2 linked regions of the Caenorhabditis elegans genome follow. The protein of the gene in region 2 purifies or fractionates together with the protein of the main gene of each other region. This does not show direct contact. Each region holds a gene or a part of one and is shown on either strand. Other genes may lie near its edges.

What was found.
Region 1: the proteins of cest-9.1 (region 2) and smr-1 fractionate together in Caenorhabditis elegans (co-fractionation; one large-scale study listed by BioGRID). This does not show direct contact.

Annotation. Positions count from the first base shown.
Region 1 is NC_003281.10:1,139,728-1,147,798, reverse strand, and holds smr-1 (Tudor domain-containing protein), read right to left. Parts: upstream 4,628-8,071; 5' UTR 4,610-4,627; coding exon 4,484-4,609; intron 4,406-4,483; coding exon 4,328-4,405; intron 4,263-4,327; coding exon 4,166-4,262; intron 4,098-4,165; coding exon 3,973-4,097; intron 3,620-3,972; exon of another isoform or gene 3,531-3,619; intron 2,949-3,530; coding exon 2,655-2,948; 3' UTR 2,588-2,654; downstream 1-2,587. Other genes in the region: acsd-1 (2-amino-3-carboxymuconate-6-semialdehyde decarboxylase), read right to left, coding at 4,949-5,122, 5,616-5,981, 7,348-7,434, 7,703-7,804.
Region 2 is NC_003284.9:12,222,597-12,232,402, reverse strand, and holds cest-9.1 (Carboxylesterase type B domain-containing protein), read right to left. Parts: upstream 6,222-9,806; 5' UTR 6,171-6,221; coding exon 6,036-6,170; intron 5,988-6,035; coding exon 5,890-5,987; intron 5,703-5,889; coding exon 5,603-5,702; intron 5,555-5,602; coding exon 5,353-5,554; intron 4,823-5,352; coding exon 4,699-4,822; intron 4,648-4,698; coding exon 4,530-4,647; intron 4,483-4,529; coding exon 4,279-4,482; intron 4,092-4,278; coding exon 3,950-4,091; intron 3,903-3,949; coding exon 3,648-3,902; intron 3,593-3,647; coding exon 3,435-3,592; intron 2,872-3,434; coding exon 2,563-2,871; 3' UTR 2,453-2,562; downstream 1-2,452. Other genes in the region: cest-7 (Carboxylic ester hydrolase), read right to left, coding at 1-179, 353-497, 737-916, 1,383-1,624, 1,671-1,872, 1,925-2,024, 2,082-2,179, 2,261-2,452; cest-9.2 (Carboxylic ester hydrolase), read right to left, coding at 6,457-6,765, 7,035-7,192, 7,242-7,496, 7,545-7,686, 7,772-7,975, 8,025-8,142, 8,191-8,314, 8,439-8,640 and 3 more; cest-8 (Carboxylic ester hydrolase), read right to left, coding at 9,712-9,806.

The DNA of each region.
Region 1 (8,071 bases), on a different chromosome or scaffold from region 2:
GTTTTTAAAAAATTCCAACAGAAAAAATTCGGTATTTTCTGAAAATTACACCAAATTTGTGAAAAAAAATGCCAGTTTTGCGAACATGGTGGCATCTTGATGCATAGTTTGGGAAAATTGCCTTTTCGTCTTTTGAAGGGATATTGGTTTGAGGTTAGTGGAGGGATTTGGCCGGGGTACTGTAGGGGTACTGTAGGAATGCTGTAGTTTGGGAAAAATTGACTTTTGAAGGAATATTGGTTTGGGGTTAGTCGGGGGATATGGTCGGGGTACTGTAGTAGTACTGTAGGGGTACTGTAGGAGTACTGTAGGGGTACTGTAGTAGTGCTGTAGTAGTACTGTAGGGGTTCTGTAGGAGTACTGTAGTTTTGGAAAAATTGACTTTTGAAGGGATATTGGTTTGGGGTTAGTTGGGGGATATGGTCGGGGTACTGTAGTAGTACTGTAGGGGTTCTGTGTTTTCGTTAAAATTAAAAATTAGGTGCAAGTTTTGACCCTTGATGCACCATGGCCGCGCCAAATCCCGGCGGTGGCCTAGTTTTTGCAGCTCGGCCACCGTGGCGGTGCAACAAATGGTGAAACATGTGCTATTACAAAATTTGAATTTCCAGTGAAAAATTTGAACGGAAATATGCCGGAAAACTTCATTTTTAGCTAAAAATCTATCAAATTCGGCGGCAACTTCAAATTTTTGAGATACATTTTTTTGGCGCGAAATTCGAATTTTCAAACCTTTTCCAAACTTTGGCAAATATATTATATTTTAAACGAAAAAAAGTGGAACGGTATTACGTATCCGCTAGCTAGCCGGCGGCGGCTAATATGTACACACGGCGGGCGAATGGAAAAACTAGTGAAATAATAATAGAATAATAAGAAAAACGCACGAGTAAAAGGCGCGCACCGATTAGAAATTAGCCTCCCATCTTCACTTTTCGGCTAGTTTTCACCTCTTCAGGCGCTGCTGGAGACAGTCTGATCGATGCACCATGATCAGAAAGCCGAGTTTTCCTGGAAAGAAACTGGAAAATTGTCAATCACAACAGGCATTTTTGGCGCGAATTTAAATATTTCACGGCTAAAAAGCGCGTTAAAATGTTTATTTTTTGGAATTTTTTCAAAAGTGTTAAAATTCAAGGATTAATTTTTCCAAAACTACAGTAATCCTACCGTACCCCTACAGTACCCCGACCATATCCCTCCACTAACCCCAAACCAATGTCCCTTCAAAAGACGAAAAGACAATTTTTCCAAAACTACAGTAATCCTACCGTACCCCTACAGTACCCCGACCATATCCCTCCACTAACCCCAAACCAATATCCCTTCAAAAGACGAAAAGACAATTTTTCCAAAACTAAAGTAATCTTACCGTATTCCTACAGTACTCCTAGCGTACCCCTACAGTACTACTATTGATTTTTTTTTCTGATTTTTAACTCGCAAAAAATTTTCCTTTGGTCCACCCCCGCGGTGGCCGAACTGCAAAAACTAGGCCACCGCCGGGTTTTGGCGCGGTCATGGTGCATTGAAGCTCAAAATTTGCACCTACGCTCAAATTTTAACAGTTTTCAAAATTCAAAAATTATTTTTCCTTAAACATTGATGTTTTTTTTTTCAAAATTTTCCAAAATTTTCGGAAATTTGAAAAAAAAAACCTTTCGAGACCTTTCTTCAATGCACCTAAACTACAGTAATCCTACAGTACTCCTACAGCACCCCGACCATATCCCCCCCACTAACCCTGAACCAATATCCGTTCAAAAGTCGAAAAAGTCAATTTTTCTCAAACCACAGTTATCCTACCTTTTCCAAAACTACAGTACCCCTACAGAACCCCTACAGTACTACTACAGCACTACTACAGTACCCCTACAGTACTCCTACAGTACCCCTACAGTACTACTACAGTACCCCGACCATATCCCTCGACTAACCCCAAACCAATATCCCTCAAATGACAAAAAGTCAGTTTTTTCAAAAACTACAGTAATCCTACATTACCCCGACCTTATCCCCCCACTAACCCCAAACCAATATCCCTTGAAAAGTCAATTTTTCCCAAACTACAGTACCACTACAGTACTACTACAGTACCCCGACCATATCCCCTCGAAAGACGAAAACACTTTTTTCCAAAACTACAGTATTCCTACAGTACCCCTACAGTACCCCGGCCATATCCCCCCACTAACCTCAAACCAATATCCCTTCAAAAGACGAAAAGTCAATTTTCCCAAACTACAGTAATCCTACAGTACCCCTACAGTACCCCGACCATATCCCCTCAAATGACAAAAAGTCAAGTTATCCCTAACTACAGTACTACTACAGTACCTCTACAGCACTACTACAGTACCCCTACAGTACTCCTACAGTACTACTACAGTACCCCTACAGTACGCCGACCATATCCCCCCACTAACCCTAAACCAATGTCCGTTCAAAAGACAAAAAAGCCAACTTTTCCCAAACTACAGTAATCCTACCGTACTCCTACAGTACCCGACCATATCCCCCGACACCTGAAACGATCCACCATGTCCGAAAAAAAGTGTTTTTTGGCATTTTTTCACAATTTCCGGGAAAAAATCGAGTTTTTATTATATCAAGAACACAAAAAAAGTACAGTAAAATCGGATATACAAGAGAGCTCAAAAAAGTGAATCCATAGCTCCACGGGTGGCTTTAAAAATGAACTGAGAGCTTCTCGACGAGACGATCGTTCCTCGCTTCTCTCCGCCGCCGCCGCTGCTGCTCGCCGAGCCATCCTGGCTTGATCCTGTCGCCGAAACCTTCTTCAGGCCCTTCAGACCTTTCGCGTTGGCTTTTGTGTTGAATTTTTGCCAACTTTTCTTCTCGCCATCCTTTATCGAGTCGAGCTCCTTCTGTTTTTGCTGTTTTTTGAGCGCTTTTTGACGTCGGCGCTCCTTTTCTGCTTGCCATTCCTGGAAATTTGAAAAAATTTGATTTTTTTTTTGAATTTTTCAGCAATTTCCAGCAATTTTCATGCTAAAATTCAAATTCTCCGCTTAATTTTACCCCAAATGGACCTTTGTCAGGGCCTATAGCTCAAAATTTGAATTTCGAGGGTTACGGTAGCGCCAAAGTACGCAAACACCGCCTAGGCACCGAATTTTACGAAAATTTGCATAAATTGGCTGAAAAACGGGCTACGGGGGTAAAAAGTGATGGAAAAGTCGATATTTGGGCTGAATATCTGTGAAAATTACGAGTTTTTCGGTAAAATTAAAAATTTGGGCATAGCTTCCGCATCTCCGAGTGACAAATGTGCTTTATTGTCAAATTGTTGGCAGAAATACGGTATTTACCTACATTTTCAGCCAATTTAAGACTGAAAATGTAAATAAAAACAGTTTTTATGCCATCAATCCGAGTAGAAGCACATGAGTCACGGAAATATCGATTTTTGGGATTTTCTAGAGATTTAAACTAGAAATTTTGCGATTTTCAGTTTAAAATCGTTTTTATCGTCTATATTTGACATAAAAATCCAAAAAAAATCGATGAAAATGGCTTAAAACCATCATTTTCAGATTGGTGGCCTAGAAATCCCAAAAGTTAGGCCACCAATCTATTTTGTGCAAAAAACCGATTTCCAGGGGTAAAAATGAGTGAGAAACTCGATTTCCAACTGAAAATTTGAGAAAAATCACTTTAAATGTGAAAAATCAAGATTTCTGCATTTTGCCGTAAGACTTGTGGTGTTTGCGTACTTTTGGAGCTACAGTACCCCGGAAAGTCCAAAAAATCGATGAAAATTTCACGAAAAAAGCCGTTTTATCCGGAAAAACGTCAATTTCTAGAAATTCCTGCAGAAAATAGTCGATAAAAGCTGAAAAAGTGTCAATTTTTGGTGATTTTTGCGATTTTTAGCTCAAAAATATTGCAAAAACGGGGTTTTTCTGGTTTTTTACAGAAGAACAAGGAATTTTTTCCATTTTTTCCAACCTTTTTGCCGTGTTGAGTCGATGGTCCGGCCGCCGACTTTGTGTTATCAAATGCATAATTTTTTCGCTGATTTTCGGGCGGGAGTTGGAGATCAGCGGGATCTACGATGGTTTTCGTGCCGGTAGCTGAAAAAATACGAATTTTTGGTGAAAATTCACGATTTTTGGGCTAAAAATCGATAAAATCCCCCTACATGTGAAGGTAATAGCCACTCCGGCGGGCGTAAGTGAGTCGATTCTGGCGAAAACCTTTTTTCCGTCGGGATGTGGGGCGATAACTCGTTCGCCGACCTGAAAAATCGATTTTTAGCTGAAAAATTGGCGAAAATCGGGGTTTTTTCGCTGAAAATCCGTACCGTCCACTTGTGAATCACTTGCGGAGCCACCACAGCCCTCTCTGATGATTCTGCCTTGTCGGTTTCCGCCAAATCTTCCTGAAAATTGGAAAAAAATCAGTTTTTATTGATTTTTTTTCGAAAATTTTGCATTTTCTCCGCTTTTTTTCACACTACCTGCAGCGAAATAATCTCCCCGAGGTCTTCCTTCAACTTGAGAAGCTCCACATTCGTCGGATCGCCGAGCAAAGCCGCCTCGACCTGCTGGAGCTGAAGTTTGTAAGAGGCGAGCTCTTCCTCCATTTTTCCGCTATTTTTTCACTGAAAATGCTGGAAATTGGCAAGAAAATCGAGAAAAACGATGAAATTTGACTGAAAAATGGCAAAAAATCAAGAAAAATCAAGAAAAACCGGCGAAAATCCGGCGAAAATCGATGAAATAAAATGTATTTTCAAAAAGACGAGAAACGCGTCAGCAAAATCGAGTATTGCGCCAGCAACCCCACTCTTGCGCATTTCTCGTTTTCGGCGGGTATTTGAATGTGAAAACATCGTTTTTCGAACAAAAAGTCTAAATTCTTTATTAAAAACCAATAAAAACCCAACATGTCCCAATAAAAATCAATAAAAACCAAAAAATGATCAAAAATCCTTATTAAAAAGCAAGTTTTCATCGATATCCAGCATTTTTACAGCGTTTTTCCACAGCAAATCCTCCCTGTCCTTGGCAGAAAATGGCTTATACTCTTCCACAACTCTTCCAACTTCAAGCTCGCCAAGCGGAAATGGGTAGTCGGTGCCAAGCACTATATGCTCCTGAAAAATTGAGAAAAAATGATGAAAATTGACGGATTTCTCGCGAATGTCAAGTTTTTTTCGAAAATTGTCGCTTCGAGACCACAAATTTCTTGATTTCAAGTTAAAATTTGAATTGAGCAAGTCAAGAGCTTCAAAATAAGCCCCATATCAACTAGTTTTCGTCAAGTTTGACAGATTTCGCAATATTTCTTGGGTCTCGCCACGAAAACTTGCCTCAGCTTCTGCAAATTCGTGGCAGGACCCAAAAAATTTGAATTTTTGAATTCAGCACATTAACACCTTTCATTTGACACCCATCTTGCCTAGGTTTTCGAAATTTTGTGAATTTTGGGTGTCGCCACGCGGGGTACTGTAGCACCAGTTTCAGCTGTGTCGAAACAGGAAAATTCAAAATGAACGTAGCATAGTCATGATGGGCGTCATTTGAAAGCTGACGACGCGGGGAATTCGAATTTTCTATCTAGAACTCTCTAAAATCAAAATTGCACACCTTTCCAACGGTATTTATCAGCAGTTCGAGAGCTTTTGGGTCATGAACCAAGCTATCCGTCCACAGTAGCCCATCGAGCTTATTCGGAGCAACTTTACACTTTCCAGCACACAAGTCTGGCCTAACATTCCATCCGTGAGAAACTCGGCCACGAATCTGTGGGTAGGCGCCGCCCCCATGTGCAAAGCAGAGCTTCAACTTGGGGAAGAGCACCAAAATGTTGCCCATGAGCACTGAGCAAATGGCTTGAGCAGTTTCAGATGGCATTCCGACGAGCCATGGCATCCAGTATTTGTCCAGCCGCCCGTCCCACATGTGCATATCCCAAGGATGCACAAAGAGCACCACCGAGAGCTCCTCGCAAATCTGAAAACTAGATTTTTGATTTTTTTTGATTTGAAAATATTTTAGCTGGATTCGTCTCGCCGAGAGCTTTCAAATGACACCCATCATGACTATAATCAGGCGATTTTGAATTTTCTAGCTTCGACACAGCTGAAACTAGAGCTACAGTACCCCGCGTGGCGAGACCCAGAAAATTAAAATTCGACGTAACCTAGGCATGGTGGTACTTAAATTAAAGCTCTCGATGAGCTGAATTCATTTATCTAAGTTTTGAGGGTCTCGCCACGAAATTCACAAAATTACTGTAGCTTTGAATTTTTGAGAAATTCGAAAATTTTCGAAAATCTATAACTCCGTCAGTTTTTAAGATTTTTGAATGAATTTTGTTTTACAATGTAGGAAAATTATATTTCTGTATCTTAAAAATGTTATGCTCCAGCTGGCTACTGTAGGTACAGTACTCCTGGGGTTTTTCGTGGCGAGACCCCGATTTTCGAAAAATTCACGGAACCCAGGCATGATGGTACTTAAATTGAAGCTCTCAGTGAGCTGATTTCATACAACATATTTTTGTGGGTCTCGCAACGGAATTCGCTATGCCACTGTAGTTTCAATTTAAAAAAAATTAATTCGAAAATTTTCGAAAATCGATAACTTTGCCAATTTTAGAGATTTCCAAACAAATTTTGTTTTACAATGTAGGAAAATTATATTTCTGTATCTTAAAAATGTTATACTCCAGTTGGCTACTGTAGGTACAGTACCCCGGGGTTTTTCGTGGTGAGACCCCGATTTTCGAAAAATTCACGGAACCCAGGCATGATGGTACTTAGCGAGCTGACTCGGCGAGCTGAATTCAGAAAACATAGTTTTGTGGGTTTCGCCACAAAATTCACAGAATTACTGTAGCTTTGAAATTTTTTGAGATAAAAATAATTCGAAAATTTTCGAAAATCGATAACTTTGTGAGTTTTAGAGATTTCCAAACAAATTTTGTAGGAAGTCATACAGAATCTGTGTTTTAACACTGTAAAAATGTCAAATCTAGGTCAGCTTCTGCAGGTACAGTAACCGGATTGATTTCGTGGCGAGACCCAAAAATTTCAAAAATCTATAGAACCTAGGCATGATGGTACTCAAATTGAAGCTCTCGGTGAGCTGAATTCAAACAAGATAGATTTGTGGGTCTCGCCACGATATGCACAGAAAGAAAGAAAAATACTGTAGTTTTGAAAAAAAAATTATTCGCAATTTTTCGAAATTCAATAACTCTGTCAGTTTTAGCGGCTTGGATCTCAATTTAGTCATAAAATTTAGAAAAATTTCAGTGCATCATAAAAAATCATAAAAAATGTGAAAACTTAATTTTATATTGTAGGTACAGTACCCCTGGAGTTTTCGTTGTGAGACCCCAATTTTCGAAAAATTCACAGAACCCAGGCATGATGGTACTTAATTTGAAGCTCTCGGTGAGCTGAATTCAATTTTTTTATTTAAAATTCAAAAATCTCAAAATTGAGAAAAACAATTTCCACAATTTCCCATTTTTCCCCCTCTAAATTTCTAATTTTCCAAACTATATCCCCGGGTAAAAAAGCTCAGCGGCGGGTATATAAAATGTGCGTCAAACGATGAATAAATGATAGGCTCCGCCCCTTCTTGCCCTACAAACCGCGCATTTTTCCCGGAGGCGGCGACGCAGAATTTTTGATTTTCGTACTTTTTTTTTGCTGTCGACTAACCTTATAAAGCGGCCAAAAATCACGATGATCCAACGATTTTTCTGCCACGTGGGAACCAACTTCAAATCCTTTTATACCCATTGAGACGCATCTTTTGACTTCCTGAAAAATTGGAATTTTTTGAAAAAAAAATTTTTTTTAGGTCTTGCCACGAAGAATTATACTTTTTGGTAGATTTTCAACGAATAAAACTTTTTGATAATTTTAATTTTTAGCTCATTATTTTAGGCTTATTTTAAGCTAAAATTTAGCTAAAAATCTTTAAAATTTGCCAAGTTATGAGGTTTTGAACATTTGAAAAAAAAAATTTTTTGCGATATTTTAGTCCCGCCACGAAAAGTCCTGGGGAACTACAGTTCCGATTTTTTC
Region 2 (9,806 bases):
GGTATGGTTTTTTTCCCGATGAATGCCGATAAAATACTGCATATCCGTCACATGCATGCTGAAAGGTTTTTGACGAGATTCAAATAGGTACACGTTTCCTCCAGCATTCGTTAGAGCTTCAGAATATGTTGCAGCGGAAACAAATACAGCAGAAGAGTCACTGTTCACAAATGTTGGGGCTAAAATAAAAATTAAAAAAAAAACATTATTCAGGAACTTACCCCTTAATCTGAAAAACGTGAATTGCAATTTTCCTTAAATTTTTGGGCTTGTTAGAAATACAAAAAAATAAAACACCTCTCATCAAATTCACGAATCCGTAAATCATCTTATCAGAAATTGTCAGACTTACTGATATTTGTGAACTTGTTCCTATATACATTCACAGTGTCCACAGGATTTTCAAAATCTAAGAAAGTCGCACTAATGTAATACCCATCCGGATACTTGAATATGGTAAATTCGTTATCGGTAACTCCACACAGCATGTTTCTTGCCTTAAATTAAAGTTTTTTAATTCATCATAGTTTTTCTCCCGCTTCATAAAATTCTATTGAAGCTGAACTGAAATGTGTAAACAAATAATAAATGAATGCATTCAGTAAGAAAACTCAATATCGAAAACCTACCAAAACATTTATATCTATAGTCTTTAGTAATGGCTAGCAAATAATAACAAAACAATACAATTTTAAGTTCATAAGAAATACGGTATATCGCTGGTAATGAGACTTACCGTTACATTCTCTTTAAACTCGGATAGCTTTTGTTTTACATCCATTAACGGTGGAGCTCTAATAATTGCTTTGAAAAATAATAGATCAACGTCGTCCATTACCGTTTGAGTTTGTAATAGTTGTAAAGCATCAATATTTCGCATGCAGTCAACAATTTCTTGGCTGTTTTCAGATGTGCACTGAAATGAAGAATTACACCAAACGTATCAAGGAGATTATAAGTTTGTCCGAATTTCAATTTTAAAAGTTTGAAGTGACATTTGAAAGTTCATTATTCCGTTTCACAAACTCTCGGTGCTGACAAAAAAACTGAATAATTTGATATGGTTTATATCAGCGAATTATACAATGCCTTCACGAAAAAAAAGTCTGCCGGCACGACCACTCATTATCAGATAATTTCCACCAGTACAATTTTTGTTTGGGGTACCGACTGGTGCATTGTTGCCTCCGGCTGTATTTTCTTAAAGTTTTTAGTCACTACTTCTCAAACGTTTTGTGTAGTATTGGTTCAAAAAATAACTCCAACTATATTTTTAGGTTATTTGAGAGAGAGAGAGAGACCTTTGGTTTCAATTCACTAATGTAGTGAACTATAACCAGGTTTCAAAGAAATATAGTTTTATCTTATAAGAACCAACATACATTATGCCTTCGTGCAATTTCATATGAATTTCCGATTTGGAGATCTTCAAATCCATACATTCCAATTGAGCTCAGCACTATAAACTGTTGAAATAACTTTTTTTCTGGGTCTATTTGATTTGAGAACCCCATTGCATTCACCAGCTGTCCTCCTGATGAATGGCCCATAAGAGTGACGTAATTGGGGTCACCTCCAAAACTAGCAATATTGTCGTGTACAAAGTTTAACGATCTGATGCAATCTTAAAAAATCTTTTTTAGACATCACGACTTCCTGTATATTATTACCGTGTATTAATAAATTTGCTGGTACTATTCCCTGTTCACCCAAATAAAATTGCCCAAAAACTCCCAAGCGATAAGCGGGTATCGCAAAAACAATTCCGCTATCTACGTATCTTTCCAATATGAATTTATCGGGAAACATTGTTGCCGAGTCTAAATTGAATGATCCTCCATGATAATAAACTAATACTGGACATTTGTGAGCCTGTAAAAACCCCGACGTTGAACTGGCTGTCATTTGAAGCAGTTCTTATCACCAGGCAGTACTCGCTTGTAAAAATATTGATGTATAGACAGTCTTCGCTGATGTTTTCTTGTTGCGCAGAAGCTAGACTCGAGTTACTCAAACATGCGGCGCTGAAATTTAGTTCAGATAAATGAAAGTTAAATAAATTCTTCGAATTTTAAAAACACCTGTATTTCGAACCATCCAAAACACCATTCCATGTGTTTGGCTCTTCAGGAAGGGCAAATCTTAATAATCCTAAAGGAGGTTTAGCAAATGGAATGCCCTGAAAACATTTTAGAATCAATGTTTTTTTAAAATTCTGTTCAAGCTCATTTTCGAATATCATATGCATCTTGAAACTTACCTTGAATATATATTTATGATTCCTCTTATCACTAAAATCAGTGATTCCTCGAACTTTTCCATAATTTGTGTTCAAAACTTTAAAGCTTTTCACACTCAATGCCAACAGAGCAAGTGTATAGAAAAATATTTTCATTTTTTTAAACTGAATAGCACTGACAAGTTGAAGATGAGTTGATAAAAATGTGCGCATTGATAAGTTTTATTTGTCTGATTTGTCTGGGTTTGGTAAAAGCTGTGTTTTAATCGATTGACTCTATTCGTCTAGACACAAAAACTTTATTTCAATGTTCAAACCGTTATCTAACTCAATAAAGGAAGTTCCTCTTCTCTCTTTGGTTTTCGGAGACAAATAACAATCAACACAACTAATAATATCATCAAAAATATAATTAAATAAAACCACCATTGTTTCAAAATTGAAGAGCCATTTTTTAGTAATGAAGATTGTGCTGAAGCTGTAGTAGTTACGGTGTTACTATTGTTATCCTGATGGATTGATGTAAATCCCTTAGTAGTTTTTGTAAGGATTTCAGGTTTATTAGTCGTTTCCCAGTACTTAAGTTGCGTCTCTATGTCAAGATGTTCCGGAGGCAAACCTTGTGATTGTCTCTGAAACCAAATTTATTTTAAAGGCTTTGAAATGGCCAATCATTATTTTTGAACTGCTTGTTTTAAAATAACATAAGCTTTTCACACATCGCGAGATTATCACGGCTGAACATATTTTCAAATAATATGCAGAATTAGCTGAAAACTTGCCGATTTATTCCAGCACGCAAATTCCAAAAACATGGACGTACCGAATTTGCCGACCTCGGAAAGGTATGAAATTGGTCACACATGCTACAATTTCGAAACAAGTGAAACAAAAATAATATATTTTTTTCAAAAAGTCAAATACAAAAAGTCAAATACAATAACAGTGTTCGTTTCATATTTTTTAAATCAAGAATTCTACATGCACATTAAACAAAACTTAGCCGTATACACTTTGCAATTTCCTGTGTTAAAACGAATTTCAAAAAATTTGCGATTTGACGTGCCGAAAAATATGAAAAAAAATATACATATTTGCCAAGTTTTCCGATATCGAGAAATTTACACATCTGATTTTTAGCACTTTTAGAAGTTTTCAACGCAAATTTGACTTCAAAAAAAATTAAAATTCTCACTATTTTTGTAACATTTCTGTCAAATTCCATCATTTCTCCAAACCACAGTTCCATTTCTTTTTCGTGAAAACCTTCAAGCATAACTGGTCCTTCTTTCATGTCAGAATCTACCTTTAGCTCTAGATAGTTCATTCTTTCGGGGTCAAGTGGTGCCCATTCTGCAAATTTGGGTTTTATTTAAACAAAGACATCTATAAATAATTTTGTAGTCACCTGGAGATGGCACTCCCATTTTTGTAAAATTCACGAGCAGTTTAGAATAAAAAGTATCCAAAATATCCATGTCAGGTCTATGATAAATTTCTCGATGAATCCCAACAAAATATTGCATATCAGATACATGGAAACTATACGGTTTTTGTCGGGTTTCAAAAAGATACACATCAGCTCCAGTATTTGCCATTGCAGTCGAAAATGTTGAAGCACATATGAAAATTGCAGCTGCATCTCCATTTATCATAGTTTCCACTAAATACGTTTAGTATAAAAGTTTCACGTGTGAAGATTTTACTTACAATTTGCCATGAGCTGTTCGTCGTAGTATCTCGCAACTGCAACTGGGTTGTCAAAATCTAAAAAGATTCCAGAAATGTAGGGATTCATGTGGTCAACATTGCGAAATTCATGCTCTGTCGTTCCATATAGTAGGTTTCGTGACTGAAATTTAACCAATTGGAAAGAAAGTAAAAAAAATAAATCCCAGAGACCAACTCAAGGTTGCATATTGTAGTGATTTAAAATAGAATCGTAAACGGTACTAAGACCAAATTAAGGTAAATTAAGTTAACAAAAGATTAATCGGTTTTCTTTTTTGACAAAAATTTTTGCATATTTTTAGATTTACCGGCGGGGATTTTTTGAGGTCTGCAATTTTCCCATTCGACTCCAAAAATGGGGCACCTCTCAGAACGCTTCTAAAATCTCGATCATCCACTTCTTCCATATGCCGCTGCATAAGTAACATTTCGCGTCCATCAATTTGTCTCATGCAATCCAGCATTTCTGCAATATTTGCATTTGGGCGGTCGTCCTTTGTTCCATTGTAACACTGAAATACGAATGAATTAGATGGAATTATGGATCAACGTTAATCACCCCAAACTTCTCAACAATGGCGAACGAATTATCAACCACCATGTCATAAAATCCAAACATTCCTGTAGCACTCAACACTATCATCTGTTGAAATAGTTTGACACCTGGATCGATGAGTCTGTAAAAATAATTCATTATAACAACGTGATATTTCGAAAAAGCGTTAAACTTTGAAAATCCCAATGCATCCACAATAGTGCCGCCAGATGAGTGTCCCATTGCAGTTACACGTTTCGAATCGCCGCCAAAATAGTTTATCTCACTGTGAACAAAACTTAATGCTTGAACAGCGTCTGAATATGTAAAAATTAAATGTGTTGTCGTTGTTTTTTTAAATAATGTTTTTAACTCAGAAAAATTATTCTACAACTGGTTGATCTGATGCCCGCTTTTCTTTTTCAAGATTCCAGGCGTTTTTCAAACATATGTGTATAGGGCTGTGCAACCGGACGTCCGGTCGTCAGAACCGGACGATCATCGTCCGGTTTTAGAAAAAAAAACCAGTTTTTAGAACTTTGAAAATTTTCCGAGAGGTATGTTTTCACGGCGGCCGACAATTTCCGAGTTTGGCCACTCATTATAAAATTCTATGATGAAGTATAGCGAGTGGCCAATCTCGGAAATTGTGAAAACATACTTCTCGGAAAAATTTCAAAGTTCTAAAAACGGGTTTTTTTTTCTAAAACCGGACGATGATCGTCCGGTTCGGACGGCCGGACGTCCGGTTGCACAGCCCTACATATGTATAAGTTTTAAGCATGACGTGGTAACGGTTTTTCGTTTAAAATTTAAATTCTTCAGTTTAAATAGTCTTTATGCTTACCATACAGGAATAAATTCTCAGAAAGAAGGTCACTCGGACCAAAATACAACTGTCCAAACACTCCTAACCGAACGGCTGGAATTACGAAAACCACGTCTTCCGCAGCATATCTATCCAAAATAAATGTATCATTGAACATTATTGCTGAGTCTAAATTGTATGCACCACCATGAAAGTACACGATTACAGGACACTTGGAATTCTGAAATTAGAATATCGATAAAACTATTCGGATTCAATGGAGGTTTACCAAACATTTTTCACTGGTGAAAATATTTATGTAGAGGCAATCTTCGCTGTAGTGTTTTTGCGGTGTGCTGGTTGAAGAAGAATTGCTCATGCATGCTGGACTGAAAAACCACAAATAATTGTTTCAACTCAAAAATAAGAAGCCATATTGTTTTGGGTAAAAACTGCGTGCTCAATTTTAAAGCTTTACCCCCTAGAGAATTTTGTAGTTTCCGATGTTATACAGATCAATTGCTTCAGATGACCTTTATTTTTTTAATTTCTCGAACTCTGAAAAACTATGACTACCTATATTTCGATGCATCCAGAATACCGCTCCACGATTCCGGATTCTGAGGCTTCGCAAACCTCAAATTACCTACTGGCGGCTTTGCGAATGGAACACTCTAAAATATTCTCCATTTGTAGGATACACTTTGAATCACCCAACTCACTTTAAACATATATCGATGATTTTTGTCATTGGACCATACAGTAATTCCACGTAATTTTCCATAACTAGTTTGGATAACTTTCAAACTTTGAAATTGAGGAATAAACAAAATCAATAAAAACAAATGTATAAACATTGTCCTCGACAAAAATGTCAACAACTAAATGATAAACTTATTGGGGTTTGCACTTCTGATAAAATGCCTTTTGTCTTGCAGAAATTGATAGTGCTGTAATTGTGACCATTTGAATATAAAACAAGAAGTATTGATTATAGCCAAACGAGTATTGAATTTTATAAAATTTTTTATTACAATCAAAACGTTGAAAAGTTTCACTCTGTTGTGAAACAATATTCAAAAATAAATAAATAATAAAAAATAGTTATATTCACCGTACGTTCAAGAAATTAACTTTAATTTTCTAACTCAATAAAGGAACTTCTTCTTCTCGTCTTGGTTTCCGAAGGGAAATAAAAATCAATACAAAAATCATAACAACTAAAGCTATAATCAAGTAGAACCACCATTGTTGAAGAATTGGTGTACTATTTTTGAATTCTCGCGATATGTATTGAGCTGTGGAGGTGAATAGGACATTGGTGCTTGTAGAAATGTTTTCTTGAGTCGCATTGTTTGCGTGTGCAGTAGTTCTTGGTTCAACTATGGAGCTCCAGTATTTCAACTGTGATTCTACACCTTGGTTTTCACGTGGTAACCCTTTAGATTGTCTCTGAAAAATAATTGTTACAAAATCTAAGTAATGAAAAAATTTAATAACCAGTTCACTACTTTTTTTAGCTCGAAAAGTTTTAATTAAAAAATTTTTAAGAACAGTTTATAAACAAAGCTTGATGATTTCTAAATTGTTTTTCTTTTAGTATTTATGTAAGTGCAAGTCATGGAACTTAAATTAATTTTTCTAAATTTCGAATTATATTCATAGTTACTTTACTTGAGTTTGTCATTAATGAACGAAACATGATTTTTATTGAATTTTACCATTTTCGTGATGTTCCTGTCATAGTCCATCATATCTCCGTACCAGAAAGAAACTTCTTTATCGTGATAGCCTTCAAGCATTACTGGACCTTTGCCATTTCTGGTATCAACTCTCAATTCCAAATAGTTCATCTTTTCTGGTTCCAGGGAGTTCCATTCTATAATAATTTTATGTAATTGAAAAATGTACACCTACAAGAAAATTACCAGGAGATGGCGCTCCTGTTTTAGTGAAATTGACCAGCAGCTTCGAATAGAAACTATCCAAAATATCCATATCATGAGTGTGCAAAACTTCTCTATGAATGCCAATAAAGTATTGCATATCAGAAACGTGAAAACTGTAGGGCCATTGTCGGGTCTCGAAAAGGTAAACGTCTGCACCCGCATTAGCCATTGCTGAAGAAAAAGCTGCAGCTGATACGAATATTGATACGGCATCTCCATTGATCATGGTATCCACTGAACTTTTTCAAAAATTACGTGAACACATTCTAAATCTGGGCTTACTGTTCTGCATCAGCTCATCGTCAAAATGTTGAGCAACTGCTACTGGATTTTCAAAATCTAAAAATGTTGTTGTGATATAGAGATATCTCTCCACTTCGTTGCGAAACTCATATTCTGTCGTTCCAAAGATTGCATTTCTTGGCTGGAAACAAATTTTTATGACCTTGAAAATGTTTATAATTATCTTCCTAATTTTATTACTTGCTTATTCTGATTTTCAAGCTTACCGATGTTGAATTTCTGAACTTTTCAATTTTCCCATTCAATTCCATGAATGGTGCTCCTCTCAAAAGACTCTTAAAAGTCAACTTGTAAACATCTTCCATATGTTTTTGCATTCCTACTATTTCATGGCCATCAATTTGTCTCATGCATTCAAGAATTTCAGCAATATTTGCGTCGGTGCGCTCTTCCTGTGTGCCGTTGAAACACTGAAACGAAGTTCGATTTATTCAACAAAACATATTTCAGTTTGTTCACCCCTAATTTTTCAGAAATAATAAACGAGTTGTCAACCAGCAAGTCGTAAAATCCAAACATCCCTGTGCCACTTAAAACGATAATTTGCTGGAACAACTTCAAGTCTGGGTCAACAGAACTGAAAAATAAAATGTTTTCTGCAGCCAAGCAACTCAAAATTTGGTACTTTGAAAATCCCAAGGCTTCTACAAGTGTTCCGCCTGAAGAGTGTCCCATGATGGTCACTTGTTTTGGGTCACCACCAAAGTTTGGTATTTCGTTGTGAACAAAGTCAAGCGCTTGAACCGCGTCTGTAAACTTTAAATTATTGCTTCTTATATTTTCGCATTTTATTAAATCTTTCTATTAATATTTAAAAAAAAACAATTTTCCATCATGATTTAGAATAAAAACAAAATTGTGTTGTTTTCTCACCAAACATGAAAAGATTCTCAGTTAGAAGAGCACTTGGACCAAAATATAACTGTCCAAACACTCCTAATCGAACTCCAGGAATTGCTAAAATTACGTCTTCCGCAACGTATCTCTCCAATATGAAATTGTCCGGAAACATTGTAGCAGAGTCTCCATTGTATGCGCCACCATGAAAATAGACTATAACAGCACATTTAGACCTCTGAATTGGAATACAATAACATCAATTTTAAAGTTTCAGTTGAAAAATACCAAACATTTTTCGCTAGTGAAAATATTTATGTACAGACAATCTTCGCTGACGTGTTCTTGTGGAGTGCTAGTTGTCGATGAGTTGCTCAAGCACGCAGGACTGGAAAACAATAAATTTTAAATTCACCTTTGTTTGGAGCGAAATACATGTGAGAGTTTCTGTTTTTTTTTGTTTCTGGGTCATTGGTCCCAACATCATTAAACGGCCGAAACAGTTTTTTTTATTGAGGATGACAGTTATAAATTTGTGGCAAGTGATATATCTTTCTAGATTGAGTTTTTGAATGATTCAAAACATTGTATGAACCCTTATGATATGTTTTCTTAAATAGTTTCATAAGCTTGAATAAAATAGTTCGAATTTTATTGCATTGTGGTTTCTATTATATTTCTCATTTTCAATATTCTCAATGTTCATTACCTATACTTTGATGCATCGAGAACACCGCTCCATGAATCCGGATACTGTGGAGGTGCAAATCGCAACTTTCCTATTGGCGGCTTGGCAAACGGTACACTCTGAAAAACAAAGCAGTTTTCTTCCAAATGTTCTTCAATCTAACTCACTTTAAACATATACTTGTGATTATTGTCATCTGACCATTCCGTTATTCCACGTACTCTTCCATAACTTGTTTCTATTACTTTCAAACTTTGTATATCAGGAAACAACAAAATTAGTTTGAACAGTATAAACTTTTTTAAAGACATTTTCGTTTACAACAAATATAATAATGTTTTCATTGATGTTTGAAAAACTGATTGAAAGGCAGTGGTCTTGAAAGCACAATACTGACTGATAAAACGTATAGTGGTAGACAGAAAACACGCGGGTTATCTTTACTAACTCAAAAACATTAACATTTTGTCTAGTAATTGACGATATTAGAGTTATAAGTGTTTGAGATACGCCGATTCTGATTGATTTTCATGTAATTAAAAATTTTTCAAATTTACAATTTCAGCTGTGAACTTATAACACGGCACGTATATAGCTTTATTTACATATTGACAGTTGTTTTTAACTTAATAAAGGAGTGATCTCGCCATTTCTTGATTTTTTGAAAGATAATATGACTAAGCCAATAGTCATTGCACAAACTGCTATTATTAAAT